3 linked regions of the Oryzias latipes genome follow. The main gene of each other region encodes a partner of the protein of the gene in region 2 in a complex. Links are inferred from orthologs where the notes say so. Each region holds a gene or a part of one and is shown on either strand. Other genes may lie near its edges.

Evidence for each region.
Region 1: lamtor4 (region 2) and lamtor2 share a complex: the UniProt entries of both Homo sapiens proteins name them as parts of the ragulator complex. The link is inferred for Oryzias latipes from reciprocal best matches to the Homo sapiens genes LAMTOR4 and LAMTOR2.
Region 3: lamtor4 (region 2) and flcn share a complex: the UniProt entries of both Homo sapiens proteins name them as parts of the lysosomal folliculin complex. The link is inferred for Oryzias latipes from reciprocal best matches to the Homo sapiens genes LAMTOR4 and FLCN.

Annotation. Positions count from the first base shown.
Region 1 is NC_019874.2:28,619,801-28,624,349, reverse strand, and holds the start of lamtor2 (ragulator complex protein LAMTOR2), read left to right. Parts: upstream 1-1,231; 5' UTR 1,232-1,377; coding exon 1,378-1,445; intron 1,446-2,061; coding exon 2,062-2,224; intron 2,225-3,174; coding exon 3,175-3,264; intron 3,265-4,549. UniProt on the Homo sapiens protein: As part of the Ragulator complex it is involved in amino acid sensing and activation of mTORC1, a signaling complex promoting cell growth in response to growth factors, energy levels, and amino acids.
Region 2 is NC_019881.2:23,887,632-23,891,000, reverse strand, and holds lamtor4 (ragulator complex protein LAMTOR4), read right to left. Parts: upstream 1,717-3,369; 5' UTR 1,611-1,716; coding exon 1,608-1,610; intron 1,535-1,607; coding exon 1,451-1,534; intron 1,389-1,450; coding exon 1,244-1,388; intron 1,179-1,243; coding exon 1,081-1,178; 3' UTR 720-1,080; downstream 1-719. Other genes in the region: ADP-ribosylation factor 4, read left to right, coding at 184-270. UniProt on the Homo sapiens protein: As part of the Ragulator complex it is involved in amino acid sensing and activation of mTORC1, a signaling complex promoting cell growth in response to growth factors, energy levels, and amino acids.
Region 3 is NC_019874.2:19,461,626-19,466,251, forward strand, and holds the start of flcn (folliculin), read right to left. Parts: upstream 3,319-4,626; 5' UTR 3,249-3,318; exon of another isoform or gene 3,131-3,248; intron 2,993-3,130; coding exon 2,780-2,992; intron 2,312-2,779; coding exon 2,165-2,311; intron 2,088-2,164; coding exon 1,866-2,087; intron 1,788-1,865; coding exon 1,621-1,787; intron 1,514-1,620; coding exon 1,422-1,513; intron 1-1,421. Other genes in the region: leng9 (leukocyte receptor cluster member 9), read left to right, coding at 3,829-3,961. UniProt on the Homo sapiens protein: Multi-functional protein, involved in both the cellular response to amino acid availability and in the regulation of glycolysis.

The sequences.
Region 1 (4,549 bases), on a different chromosome or scaffold from region 2:
TTTAGCCTTTCTTGCAGCCACACTGTACATACTGATTAGATTTTTTTTGTAATTTCTTTTCTCCAAAAGACACTTTTATTCGTCATCATCATTTGTCCTTTCAGTTGCAGAGACTAGAATAGAAAAAACTGATTTTTTGACCTTTCATCTAAACTTCAGAGGTGTCAGAATGACCTCAAAGAGTTTTACTATAAATTTAAAGAGTTAACTTTTTTGTCACATATCTAGAAGGAAATGTGTTTATTTCCTTCTGCCAAAATGAGACTACATCCTCTCTGATTTTACACCACGTCTGTAGCTTTCAATGGTTGACGGTATAAACAAAACTGTAAACGGATGCACTTGTGTGACTATAATTTTACCAAAACACATATCAGAGAATACATATTAACCATGCACTCATGTACCATAGCAGTTACAGCATGGAATCAAATCAACTTTTGTTTATACAAATGATTGGTTTGTGTCTTTTTTATAAGTGTGTCCACTCAAACACAACAGATTTACCTCTTAGAACAAAATCCTCTTCTTACAGACAAAAAAAAAACAATAATATCCTCGGCCCGATCACTTTTTCTGATGTCCAAAGGGCAGGAGGGAAACGATTCTGCCAAACACTTTGCGCAAACATGTCCTCCCACCAGGAAGCCAGCAGACAATAAAAACCTCAAAGCAGACTAACCTTTACTGTAAGGAGGAGTGTCAAAAGATTTAAATAACACTTCTTTGGTTGAAGTAGAATAAAAAGTACACTTCTTTGAAGCATAAAATCTTTGAGATAAAAACTCTAAATATGACAAAGGAGATGAATCAAGGAGGTGAAGTTTTCGTCGTTCACTGAAGCAAACTATATTTCCCATGATACATTTCCAAAGAACTGGTCATATTCTAGCAGCTCTAATAGGTGTGAGTGTGAATGGGAGTGTGATTGTGGCCCTGCGACAGACTGGCAATCTGTCCAGGGTGTCCCCTGCCTTCACCCACAAGTGGCCGGGATAGGCTCCAGCAGCCCCGTGACCCAGAAATGGACAAAACGGAGGAAGATGAATGAATGGCCATATTCCAGTTCTCAAAAATGTTTACAGACTACATGGGAAAGTAATTTAAAACAAAAAGATTTGTGAAAAAATCAGGAATAATTAAAAATTTAAAAATAAAGTTTAAAGAAAAACATAATAAATATAAATAGGAAACATGTATTTGGATATAACTGCAATTCCCATGATGCATCTCTAAATGTACCGGAAAAGGAAACAGAAGAAGAATCGAGTCAGCTGACTTTGCTCTGTTATTGAGCAGTTCTCTCTTCTTTTTTAAGCCCCGTGTTTATTCAGTCAGATCATTTTTCTGGGTTTTTTCTCCTGAGAGAGGTCGGCCATGTTGCGACCCAAAGCGCTGACGCAAGTTCTCAGCCAGGCGAACACGAACGGCGTCCAGAGCACCCTGTGAGTACCGCGAGCTAGCAGGCTAACATCCAGCTAGCTAGCAGCGGTTTGTTTGCGTCTAGCTCCTTAGAACTCTTAAAGCTCCCCTGAAACGACACGTTTATATAATTATTACTTCACCAACTTAATACTACTTTTACATTTTCATTATTTATTGCAATAAATACAAATATATTTTTTCAAGATTTGTTTTCCGCTGTTAAATCAAATACAGTTTTACACGAATTTCAAGCAGTTGAATTTTGATTTCAAAATAAGAGTCTTTTTAAAATATATTTGGTTCGTTTTTATTTTTGCTTAGAAAGTCTGTTCAGGGTACAAAATATCATTATCAGGTAGAAAAAAAGCAAAAAAAATCGATTTACATTTAAAAAGTGGTGTGGGAAAATAAGTAATCTGTAATGTTTGATGTAGATCTGTTTGATATAGATCTGTTCATCGTTTTAGCCATTTTGCATCAATCGATCAATTTCTGTCCTGGAGACCTCCTGACAAAATTACTTGGTTTTCATGGTTTGAAAACGGAATGGCGTTTGTCTTAAAACTTTGTCACTGTAACTTTTCATCATTGTGTTGTTTTTGTGTGTAATGAACAACCGTCTCTCTGTGCGAGCAGCCTACTGAACAACGAAGGCTCCCTCCTGGCGTACTCCGGTTACGGCGACACAGACGCTCGAGTGACCGCTGCCATCGCCAGCAACATCTGGGCCGCCTACGACAAGAACGGCCACCAGGCCTTCAACGAGGACAAACTCAAGTTCATCCTCATGGACTGCATGGTGGGAACTTTCTCCTTGTTTTCCTTCAGCCCTTTTGTTGAAGTTAGATTCTATGAATGCCCCAACATCTCTGAAGGGGTCTGCAATTTGAGGCATCACAGCTGTTTTTTTTCCCCCTCCATTGTGACTTTAAAGAAAAAATGTGTATTATTTAAATAAAATAATGTGTTTGTAGTTTTGCTTTAGCATGCATACATGGTGGCACCTGTTCAGTCTGGTCTGTTTCAAACGGGACCAAATGGCTCTTTTAATGTTGTACAAAATATGAATAATGGGACTTGAGCAAACCTTCAGATATGGAAGGAGCTGGCTCTTGATACCAATAGCACCACAGGAAGACACCAAACACACACTCCTTGTACTCCTTGCCCATTTTTTTTTGCCCCGCTCTACAGTTTTGTAAACATTGCTCAAGTCAAACGTGTCAACGTCCTGCATCATTTTTCTCATGATACATAAATAATCTTCGCTCATGCAAACAACCAGATGATTTTCTTATTTCTAACTTCCAGCTCTGAGGCAAAATGTTTAACTTAATTCCCGAAAATCAGCGAATCCACACAGTAAAACCCCCACTCTGCCTTAGGAGGAGGGGCTTTGTGGAGAGTCTTGCTCTGTAGATGGAGGGGAAACCTGCTGCATTTGGTCGCATAAAAAAAGCTGAGATCCATTCTTTCAAACCTGTGATTCAGTTCGATTTGCGCCTCATCGCCCCTTATTCAGTAATAATTCATGTCTGCACATTAGCTGAGAGCTGCTGAACTGAGTGAAGGTCAGGCTTACATAAATACTGTCGTAAATCTGAGCATCGCAAACTAACAGCAAAGCAGTGTTCTGTGAGAAATCCATCTGACTTAGTGGATTTATGATTGGAAGTTACAACCTGTAAAGAAAAGTGACTTTTAGTCTTTGGACTCGACCAATAAAAAGGCTTTTTTTTTTTTTCTCAGGAAGGGAGAGTGGCCATAACGCATGTGGCTAACCTGCTGCTTTGCATGTACGCCAAAGAGACGGTGGGCTTCGGGATGCTGAAAGCAAAGGTGAGGGCGCTGCTTCCTCACATGGGTCTTCATCAGCTGTGGTTCCTCAACGAGTCCCGATTCCTGACCCCACAAGTTCAGTTCAACCAAGGACATTTATTCACTCGTTTATTCATTCACTCTCCTCTATGTAGTTTAGTGGAAGTGAAGCATATTTCAGATCAAATTCCGATTCCAAGTTATTGGATTTGGAGTTGCTGCCGATACCGAGTTCCGATCTGTTACTGTCGTAGCACATCCAAAAAAAAATGACAAACTTAATAAACAGATCAACATTTTCCAAATTTTTAAAATTTTATTAAGCTTCTTTTAGCATTTTACACGTAAACAGAGCACTTCTGGGAAGTATCTTCAACAATCAAGGAAAAGTAATGCAATTATCAAATAGAAAAAATAGTTAACTATAAACTAGTACAAACTTGTTAATAGTTAACTAGTCAAAATAGGTTAATTAGCCCTATGAGAAAGTTTGGTGACTGTAGCCTTAACATCTTCAGAACTGTTGAACATTTTTGATCAGATGTGATTCATTTCCCTGTTATAATATCAAATAATCAATTTCCAAATTCATCGTTGTAGCATAATTATGATGAGTATTTGTGACTTTCAACAGAACCATTGACTAATCGTTAGTATTTTTATTATTATTATTATTATTATTATTATTATTATGTATTTATTTATCTTGGTCTATTTTTCCCAGAACTTGCACTTTGTAGGCGGTCCCTTATCAGCCCACCATCAGTTTCATTCTCTTGAAAAGAATGAAAAAAAGAGCAATTTTTATTTATTTACTATTTACAGTCTTTGTAAGTCGTTGGTAAGTTAAGATGAGCCAATATAGACACTTGCTGTCAGTATAAAATGTTTGATATACCGTACTTATTGTGTCAGGAAGTCTGAATCTGTGAACAACTGGTTAACTTTCCCGAACTGTGTTTGTGCGCCTCCTGGTGGCGTATTCCTGCTCCGCTTTACGACAATAAAACGTCCTGATCCATTCAGGAAGTGCCGACTTCTAGTAGAGTATTTATCTGTAATGTTAAAAATATATATATAACGGTAATTTCATTTTGATTTGACTTATTGGTTTATTTCAAGCCTTAATTGAATTAATAATAATAATAGATTGGATTTATCTGTGCTTTTCCAGACACTCAAAGCGCTTCAAATGTGTCCATTATTCATTCACTCTTCATTCATAGTTGGTTCGCGCCTACGGTCCCTCGGACCATCACTGGGATCATTCATGCACATTCATGCTGGTAGCGTTAAGGGTCTTACC
Region 2 (3,369 bases):
TTGGCCCCCTGACTCATGGAGCCAGAACCATGGGGGGGGGGGGGGGGCTTAAGCAGACGTGGGTCAGAACAGCTCCACCCCTTTGGCCCCCCTGACTTATGGAGCCAGAACCATGGGGGGGGATCTTAAGCAGACGTGGGTCAGAACCGCTCCTCCTGACATGTGTGTGTTTGTGTGTTGCAGTGGCACGTCCAGGCCACCTGTGCCACTCAGGGGACCGGTCTGTACGAGGGGCTGGACTGGCTGTCCAATGAGTTGTCCAAACGCTAAGCAGCTGACTGATGATGTCACCGTGTACAGAGGAAGAGGAGGAGCCTTCCGCCAGACTGTTCCTGTTTTTTTTTTCTTTTTTTAAATTATAGCTGTAGAAGGAAGTGATGTCACAGACTCTGAGGTTTCCCATCATCCTCTTCTTCTTCTGCCGGTGTTTGTTCTTTTATGCGCATGTTTTAAATCCAGATCATGTGACAGGATGTTTTGGGAGAGGGGTGGGGCTTGGGGCAGGTGAGAGCTACCTGGGCAGGTGACGAGTCATTCCACAGCCGGACCGGCGCCCCCGTCATTCCTGCCTAATGTGAAGAAGAGATGAAGAAGATGACGCAATAAAGCTTTTTCTTGTCACGCTGGTGGGCTTTGTTCTGAACCAGAACCTGCAGACTCTAGACCAGACCGGTCTCAGAACTGAATCTGGTTAAGGATCAGACAAACTTCAGGTTTTCGTATGTTTATTTGAATCAGTTTTCAAAACATTAAAACTTTATTTAAATGACAAGTTCTGACAGAAAATCTGGTTTCTTTGGGAGATGAAGATTTTATTTCAGAATCCAAAACATGCAGCAGAACCTTTGCAGGATCGGTCTTCCGCTCTGCCTTCAGAACCACTGTAGCTGACCTTGTTCTGTAAAGGTCCAGAACCTAAACGTAACTGGGTTCTGTCCAATGATCCAAACAGAACCGAAACTGTTTAGAGAACTTGCTCCAGTTCTGTGCGATTGGTGGGTCACATCAGTTCATTACTGAGCAAGTCGGTTCCGACTCGGTCCAAAGGTGGACTGTCGTCCTCTCCGCCTGGCCCCGCCTTCACGCTGTGACGTGCTCAGGATGCGCGTGCTGACGTTTGACCACAAACACCTTCTGACCGGAAACGGTCACCGCCAAGACGAAGTCCTCCAGAACCACTGCGAACAGAACCGAGTCAGGGCGGGGCATCACCAGCCGAGCTCACCTGTCAGGTGTGACTTACCGGACATGCGCTTAAACGGGACGTCCTCGGATCCGGGTGACCGGAAGTGGTCCGCAGATCCAGATAACCGGAAGCGGTTCGCGGTCCGGACCATCTGCATTATGACGCTCGCCGTGTGCTCGTCGTTCTCCAGCTCACCTGCCGACTGCACAGGTGAGCCTGCTCAGGTTCGGTTCGGTAACAAAGCTGGGCCCGGATACTACTTACCGCCAGAACTCCGTCCTCGCTGATCACCAAGTACCCGAGCTGGTCCGGGATCCGGTCCAGACCCGCCGTCAGCGCCGCCGTGCTCTGCACACAACACACGTGAGGTTCGGTGAGGTTCGGTTCGGAAAAGCGGCACGGAGACAGAGAGCGAACTCACCATTCTTCCGGAAGATGATCCTTCACGTGACTGCTGACGTAGGCTGGTGGGCGGTGCCTTTCAGGCCTTCCAAGCGACTTCCGGTCTGTTTCGCTACACTTCCTGTTTACTTAGTCAATAGTTTTCTTCTATCTGAGCATGTATTGATTATGGGGTAGATTCTATGTAGACGTTTGTAGCAGACGTCTCTCATCTTGTTATTAATTAATCATTTCTGATTCAGGGTCCAAACATTTTTCCAGGACGAGTCAGGAATAAATGTTCTCCAATAGAAAACAGCAGAGGAACAGAAATGACGTTTAGCTGAAACACGGATGATCTTGTTATTCTTTAGTTGAAACAAGATTTTCCAACATTAGTGTCACTTAGAGACATGAAGGGAATATTTGCATCAAGTACAGTATTTTTAAAGAGTTCACAGATTCAGTAGGAACGGCGTCCCCAGTAGGATATTATTGTCAAACCAATGATTGTAAAATAAAGATTTGTTCTTGTAAAGGATATCTCTGTTATTCCAAATAAAAAACTTATGAGGAGAAAAGTTGTGTTTATAGATAAGAAAGAAGAATCTGTGAAAAGCAGAGATTTTCACTGGGATTCTGTCGATATTATAATCACAAAGCAGAAGAAAATGGAGAAAAGCTACTTTAGCAAACATGTGACGAGGGAAAATATTCCAAATGGAGAGTGGATTTTTGAAATATCATCCAGTTTATTTTAAAAGTATTATTTAAAGTAGTAAGATCAAGAAAATTTAGGCCTCCTTTTTCATAGGAGTTCATTAATACAGATTTTTTAAATAATGAATCCGGTTTTTCCAGATGAAGTTTAGCAGCATTTGATCAATAGATTTCAGAGTCTGATTGTCCAGAATTAGTCAGTCTAGAAATCCCCTCTGCTGTGGAGAGTGAATCCTTCCTCAGACTCTGGTCTCTCTGAAGCCTTTGGTTCAAACGTTTTTTGGCTTCATCAATGAGGGGGAGGGAAATTTAATGAGCATCTTTCTAAACTACTTTTGGAAATATTAACGCCTAAATATGTTACAGTTTCTATTACAGGACTGTTGCAGATTCTAAAGCACAATCTTCAACAGAAAGAAGTTCTTATTTGTTCAGACTGAGACGTAGACCTGAGACATCAGAGACAGACTGGATACGGTTCAGAGATCAGGAAACCTGACTGCTGTCTCTGAAGAAGAGAGTCGTGTCATCAGCAAACTGACTCATTAACATTTCTTTATTAAGAACTGAGACGCCTTTTAATTTATGAATATTGATACAATCAGCAAGAGTTTGGGTAACTAGAAGAAAAAGATACGGTGAAATAGGACCCCCCCCCCCATCTGATTCCTCTATTGGGATTGAATCTGGGGGGGGGCATTTTTTAGTTTGACAGAACAGTTAGCATTAGCATACAGAGTTTTAACTGTATTACAGAAGAAATGTATGAAGACAGCTGAAGATAAAATGATGATTAACAGAGTCAAACGCTTTATAAAAGTCTAAAAAGAGAATCAACTGTCATCAGAGATCAGGTGTGAGGAATCTAGAATATCAAGAACTAGACCAATGTTATTGGAGATGTGTCTGAATCCTGATTGTGTCTCTGCAATAACTGAGTTTAGAACAGATTTAAGTCTCTTTGCAAAGACAGATGCAAGAATCTTGTAGTCATTATTTAATAGATATACGGGACGCCAGTTGTCAATGAGAAGTCCATCTTTTTTGGGTTTGGGTATCAGAGTAAGAACGCCTTGATTTAA
Region 3 (4,626 bases), on a different chromosome or scaffold from region 2:
ATGTCAAGAAACCTAATTTCTCCTGTGGACAAAAAAAATATTTATCCTTTTTTATTAGGTAGATTTGTTTTAATGCCTACCCAGCTCACAAATAACATTACACTGCAAAAACGCAAAATCTTACCAAGTATTACTGTCTAGTATTTATTTTGAAGATCTTATTACACTAGATCAGGGGTCATTAACATGAGCCAAATGTGGCTCTTTAATCCCTATTTTGTGGCTTTTTGGCTTTGAAGAAAAACGGTTACAATTTATATAAATAAAGAGTTTTAGTTCTTGTTGATTTGTTTTGGTTATTTTGGTCACTTAGGTTTAGATTTTTAATACATGTCCAGGTGCTGCTCAGAGACAATGTTCTTAAATTATATAAAGTCCAACTGCATTTACATATATAGATTTGTAAAAACAATTGGATTCTACGTCATTATCATGTATTGAATAGTGAAATGAAATAAACAGGATGAAGGTATACCACAGTCATAATAACAGAAAGCACCATGTTTGACTTGACTTTCTTGCATTTTAATTTAAGTAAATCTGCTGCAGCAGGGGGGGTTGTCATTTTATTTTGAAAGGACTTTTTAATGTGCAGCTGTCAAAAGTAAAGTGATGTAATTCTATTCTTGTACATAATTAAATCTAATTTCATAGATAAATGGCTTAATGGGCACAAAAAACATAAATAAAGTTTATTTTTGTAAAACAGTGGGACTTCTCGGTGGGTTTTGGTCAGTTTGAAGTTGGACCAAATGTCTCTTTAACCCTTAAAGGTTGCAGACCCCTGAACTAAATAAAAGACCCAATTTGTTTTAAGGCAATACATTTTGAATATCTTGTTGAGTAAGTTGATCTCGAAAACATCTCGTTTTTATATGAATATCATTAATAAAACACATTTTTTCCTCTTTATATAATATTTTTCAGTTGAAGTTTTATTTGTCTGGTGAGTGGTTTTGTTTCATATGTGTTTTTTAAATAATCCTTAATACAAATGGATCTTAAAATGTGTAATTCTAGTCTTATTTCAGGATGATTTGTTGGACTGTTGCTTGACATAAGACATATTTGGGGGGGAAGAAAAGTGTACAAATATACCTACTTTATAGGTATAAAACTTTTTTTTAAGAAAATCAGGCTTAGTTCAAGACCTAATATTTCCCATTTTAAGAGCAATAAACCTAAATATGAGTATTTATAGCTAAAGTCATCATTTAATTAGTCTTAAAAAGGGCGGGAGATCAAAACTTTTTTGAGAAATCTTACCAAGACAAATTCTACTAGTTCCATAGGCAGATTTTTTTCTTTTATAACAAGGGAAAGGCATCCTATATTTTATATATTTCTTATTTGTTTTAAGAAGGAAATCTTCTAGTGTGATCAGACACAAACAGTTTTGTAGCCCTGGACGTCATGCTTACCTGTTCGTCTTTCTATAAGCACCAGTGTGTCCTCTGTGGGGGCACCTTCAAGAAGCTTCTCCGTCAGTCGGCTCCCACAGGCTTTTAGCAACCTGCAGAAAGAAGGGTGTGAAGACCCAAATCATTATTGACAGCTGAGAAGCTACAAATCAGCCTAAAGGGGAGTAATGACAGAGTGACGCCGGGTCAACTGTCTCACCAGCTAAAAGAAGAGTGCAGGCTGGCCCAGAGATTGGGATGCTGTGTGAGAGAGGTCAGTGATCGGGCGGCGTTCCCACTTCTTTGGTGTGGAAAGACTGCGGGGGAAAATGCATTGTTGATCCGCATGGCTCGATGAGGGCAAACCCCCTGCTCACTGTCAAATACCTAATAAAAGAAAAATGTGTTCGGTCAATTAAGCTCAATACAGAATCAACAAAGGGGTTGTTTGTTTTTGTGGCCTACTTTTAGAGCTGTGCTCTGCAGGCTGTGTATGGTGAGCTTTAGGTGACGTAACAGGAAAGGCCAAGAATTGATGAGGTAGATCCTGTCCATGGCTACAATAACGATGCTGTACCAACGCTGGAATCCTCTGGCCAGGCTGTCTTTAATAAAAAAGGTGTGCGAAAACACAAACCCCTGTTGCTCGTCTCCAAAAAATATCGGTCCTTCACGTCCAGGACACACCTGAGGCAAAAACAGAGAAAACTGGGTCGGAAATTAGGGCCAAAAATGAGAGCAGACATCGTTTAAGCAAAGTTTACCTCACAGCTGAGGCTGCGTACACAGGCTTGGCGCACCATGCTAAAAAGCTGCGGCTGCCTGGGATGCTGATGGCTCAGAAATCGAATTCCTGTTTCATCATCGAAGCTCACAAAGCCAGGGTGAGATGCAGGCAGAGATCTGCATCCCTAAGAAGGTGTTAAAGAAAAAGAAAAAAACAGAAAATGACATGTGGGAAATGGATTACCAGCCGATAAGTTCTCTTTAGAGACCCACTCCAATGAAAATTATGTTTCTGTTGTTTTTAACGTGTGTTTGTGCCATTTTTCTGATGATAGAATGTATAAAGAAAATTAAGCTTCAAATTGCCTCTCTGCGTATTTCTGTATTCGTCTTCAGTCTTTGCTTTCCTCGTCCAAACTGTACGGCTGGTTAGCTCCAATATTGGTCGGCATTTTGTTGCACAGGGAATGTTAGAATGGGGGTCAATTACAGGGGCCGTAAACAAGTAAACAAACAGGCTTGCATGCAGGCTTACTACCAACCCCCCCCCCCCAACAGCACAATCATAATTAAAAGGCCACTGGGAACGTTTTGAAAATAGATGATCGGAGTGGGACTTTAAGGTCCAGGTGCCAAGAGCGTGATAAACTGACCTCACACATCTCTCCTCTAGGTGTAGTAGAGCTGTTGGCCCTCATGGTGAGACCTTCACCCTCACGGTCCCCATCTCTATCTCTGTCTCCTGGCACCGGGGTACCAGTCTGGGAGGACGGGTCTGGGGATGGGGGATGCAGGGCTTCTGTGCAGAAGAGGGTCCGGGGGCCATGGAGCTCACAGAAGTGACACAGAGCTACCAGCGCATTCATCTGAAATGGAGAACACACGAATCCATCAATAATTTAACATTCATTGCCGTTTTGACTACAAACAGATATTTACAGGTAGACTGTATGTCTCCTAACAGTTTGTGACGTTACAAGTCAATCATAGAGAGTTCTTCTTACCTTCAGCGGAGTCGAGCTAAATGCTGCTCAAAACGACTTTTATGGAACAGCCATGGCTTTTTAGTTTAAAAATACAAAAAACATGTTTCGGGTCGTTTTTTTAAACTAAAAAACTCACCAATAAGTCAACAAGTTACGCTTTTCGTTTGTCACCGGGAACTGCTAGCAAACAACAACAGAAGGGTCACATGACGCGGAGTCACGCGCTCGAGCAGAAATGATGCGTCTAAGCAAGTTTTATGTTCATTGGCACTCTTGGACCTCAAATTCTTGACGTTTGAAAATGTAAATAAATTCTCCAATTATTTTTCTTTAAAAATTTACGATTACATTCCTGAAATCAAGAATCATTTAGTCAAAAATAAGACTAGTCGATTGAACACTAACTACATTACCCATAGGTCCACTCGAGACTGAGGTCAAAGTACATTTGAGTTGGAAGTCTGCATTTTCTTACTAGTCTGCTTAAATGTCAAAATATGTGACCGTGGTTTTGATTTTTGAGTGCGTTTAAGTATATCTGCTTTTTGTAAAAACAATAATATTTCTAAAATTGTTTATTTTTAATCGCCAAAAACTAGACACTTCCGTGTGTTCCCACACACAGTAAAGAAAACCGGGTGTGTCCAGTTTATTTTTACTGACCAGTCAAAGGTAAAACTACCTCAACGAGGCAACAGGGCCCTTCATTTGTGACCATGGCGTCCCGTGGGACAGGGGCTCCCACGTTTTCACCTGAGGGCCAGGTAGATGGTGGCGGGACCCTCACAGAACCAACCAATAACCCAACTGTTGGAACAGCTGACACCCAGAAGCCCACTGATGTCGATGGTAACACCATATTTTTATGTGTTTTTAACATGTATGTACTTATTGCTGTTAATCTAATTGGTTAATCTAAATTGGTATGTTGTTCAAATCTAATTAGGATTTTAGGGGAATCAAACTCCATGCCAGATTATTATTAGTATTATTTTTTAGAAGCTATCAGCGTTCAAGTCATCAATAGCAGTGTTTCTGGGAAGGAATTTGTTCTGACAGCGTGTTTGTGTGAGCCTCTGGCCCTTTAAAAGGGAGCAGAATGCAGTGGACCCCCAGCCCCTCACTTCCTGCAGTGTTCATGTCCTGGAAACATGTCTGGGTTTTTAGCAAGTGAGTCAGGACTGAAGACTCCCACCTCCAGAGACTCCCACCTCCAGAGACGGAAAGGAATCGGTGTCTGCTCCCACTCCCACCCCTACTCCCCAACCTTAAGTCACAAGGAAATTTCCTCAGAACAGACAAACCTCCCTGCTGCTTTCAGTAAACTGTAATATCAGAAGGGAGTTTAATAACTTCAGCGTCGGGGAGAGTCAGCTTTCCCATTATTGTACGGGGGATTAGGTTATTACCACCTGTTGTTTACTCTCTGATTAGTGCACTGGAGATGAATTATGAGGTCCATGTCTATGGAAGGGTTAGAACAATCAAATATAATATCATTTATGTCAGGGCGA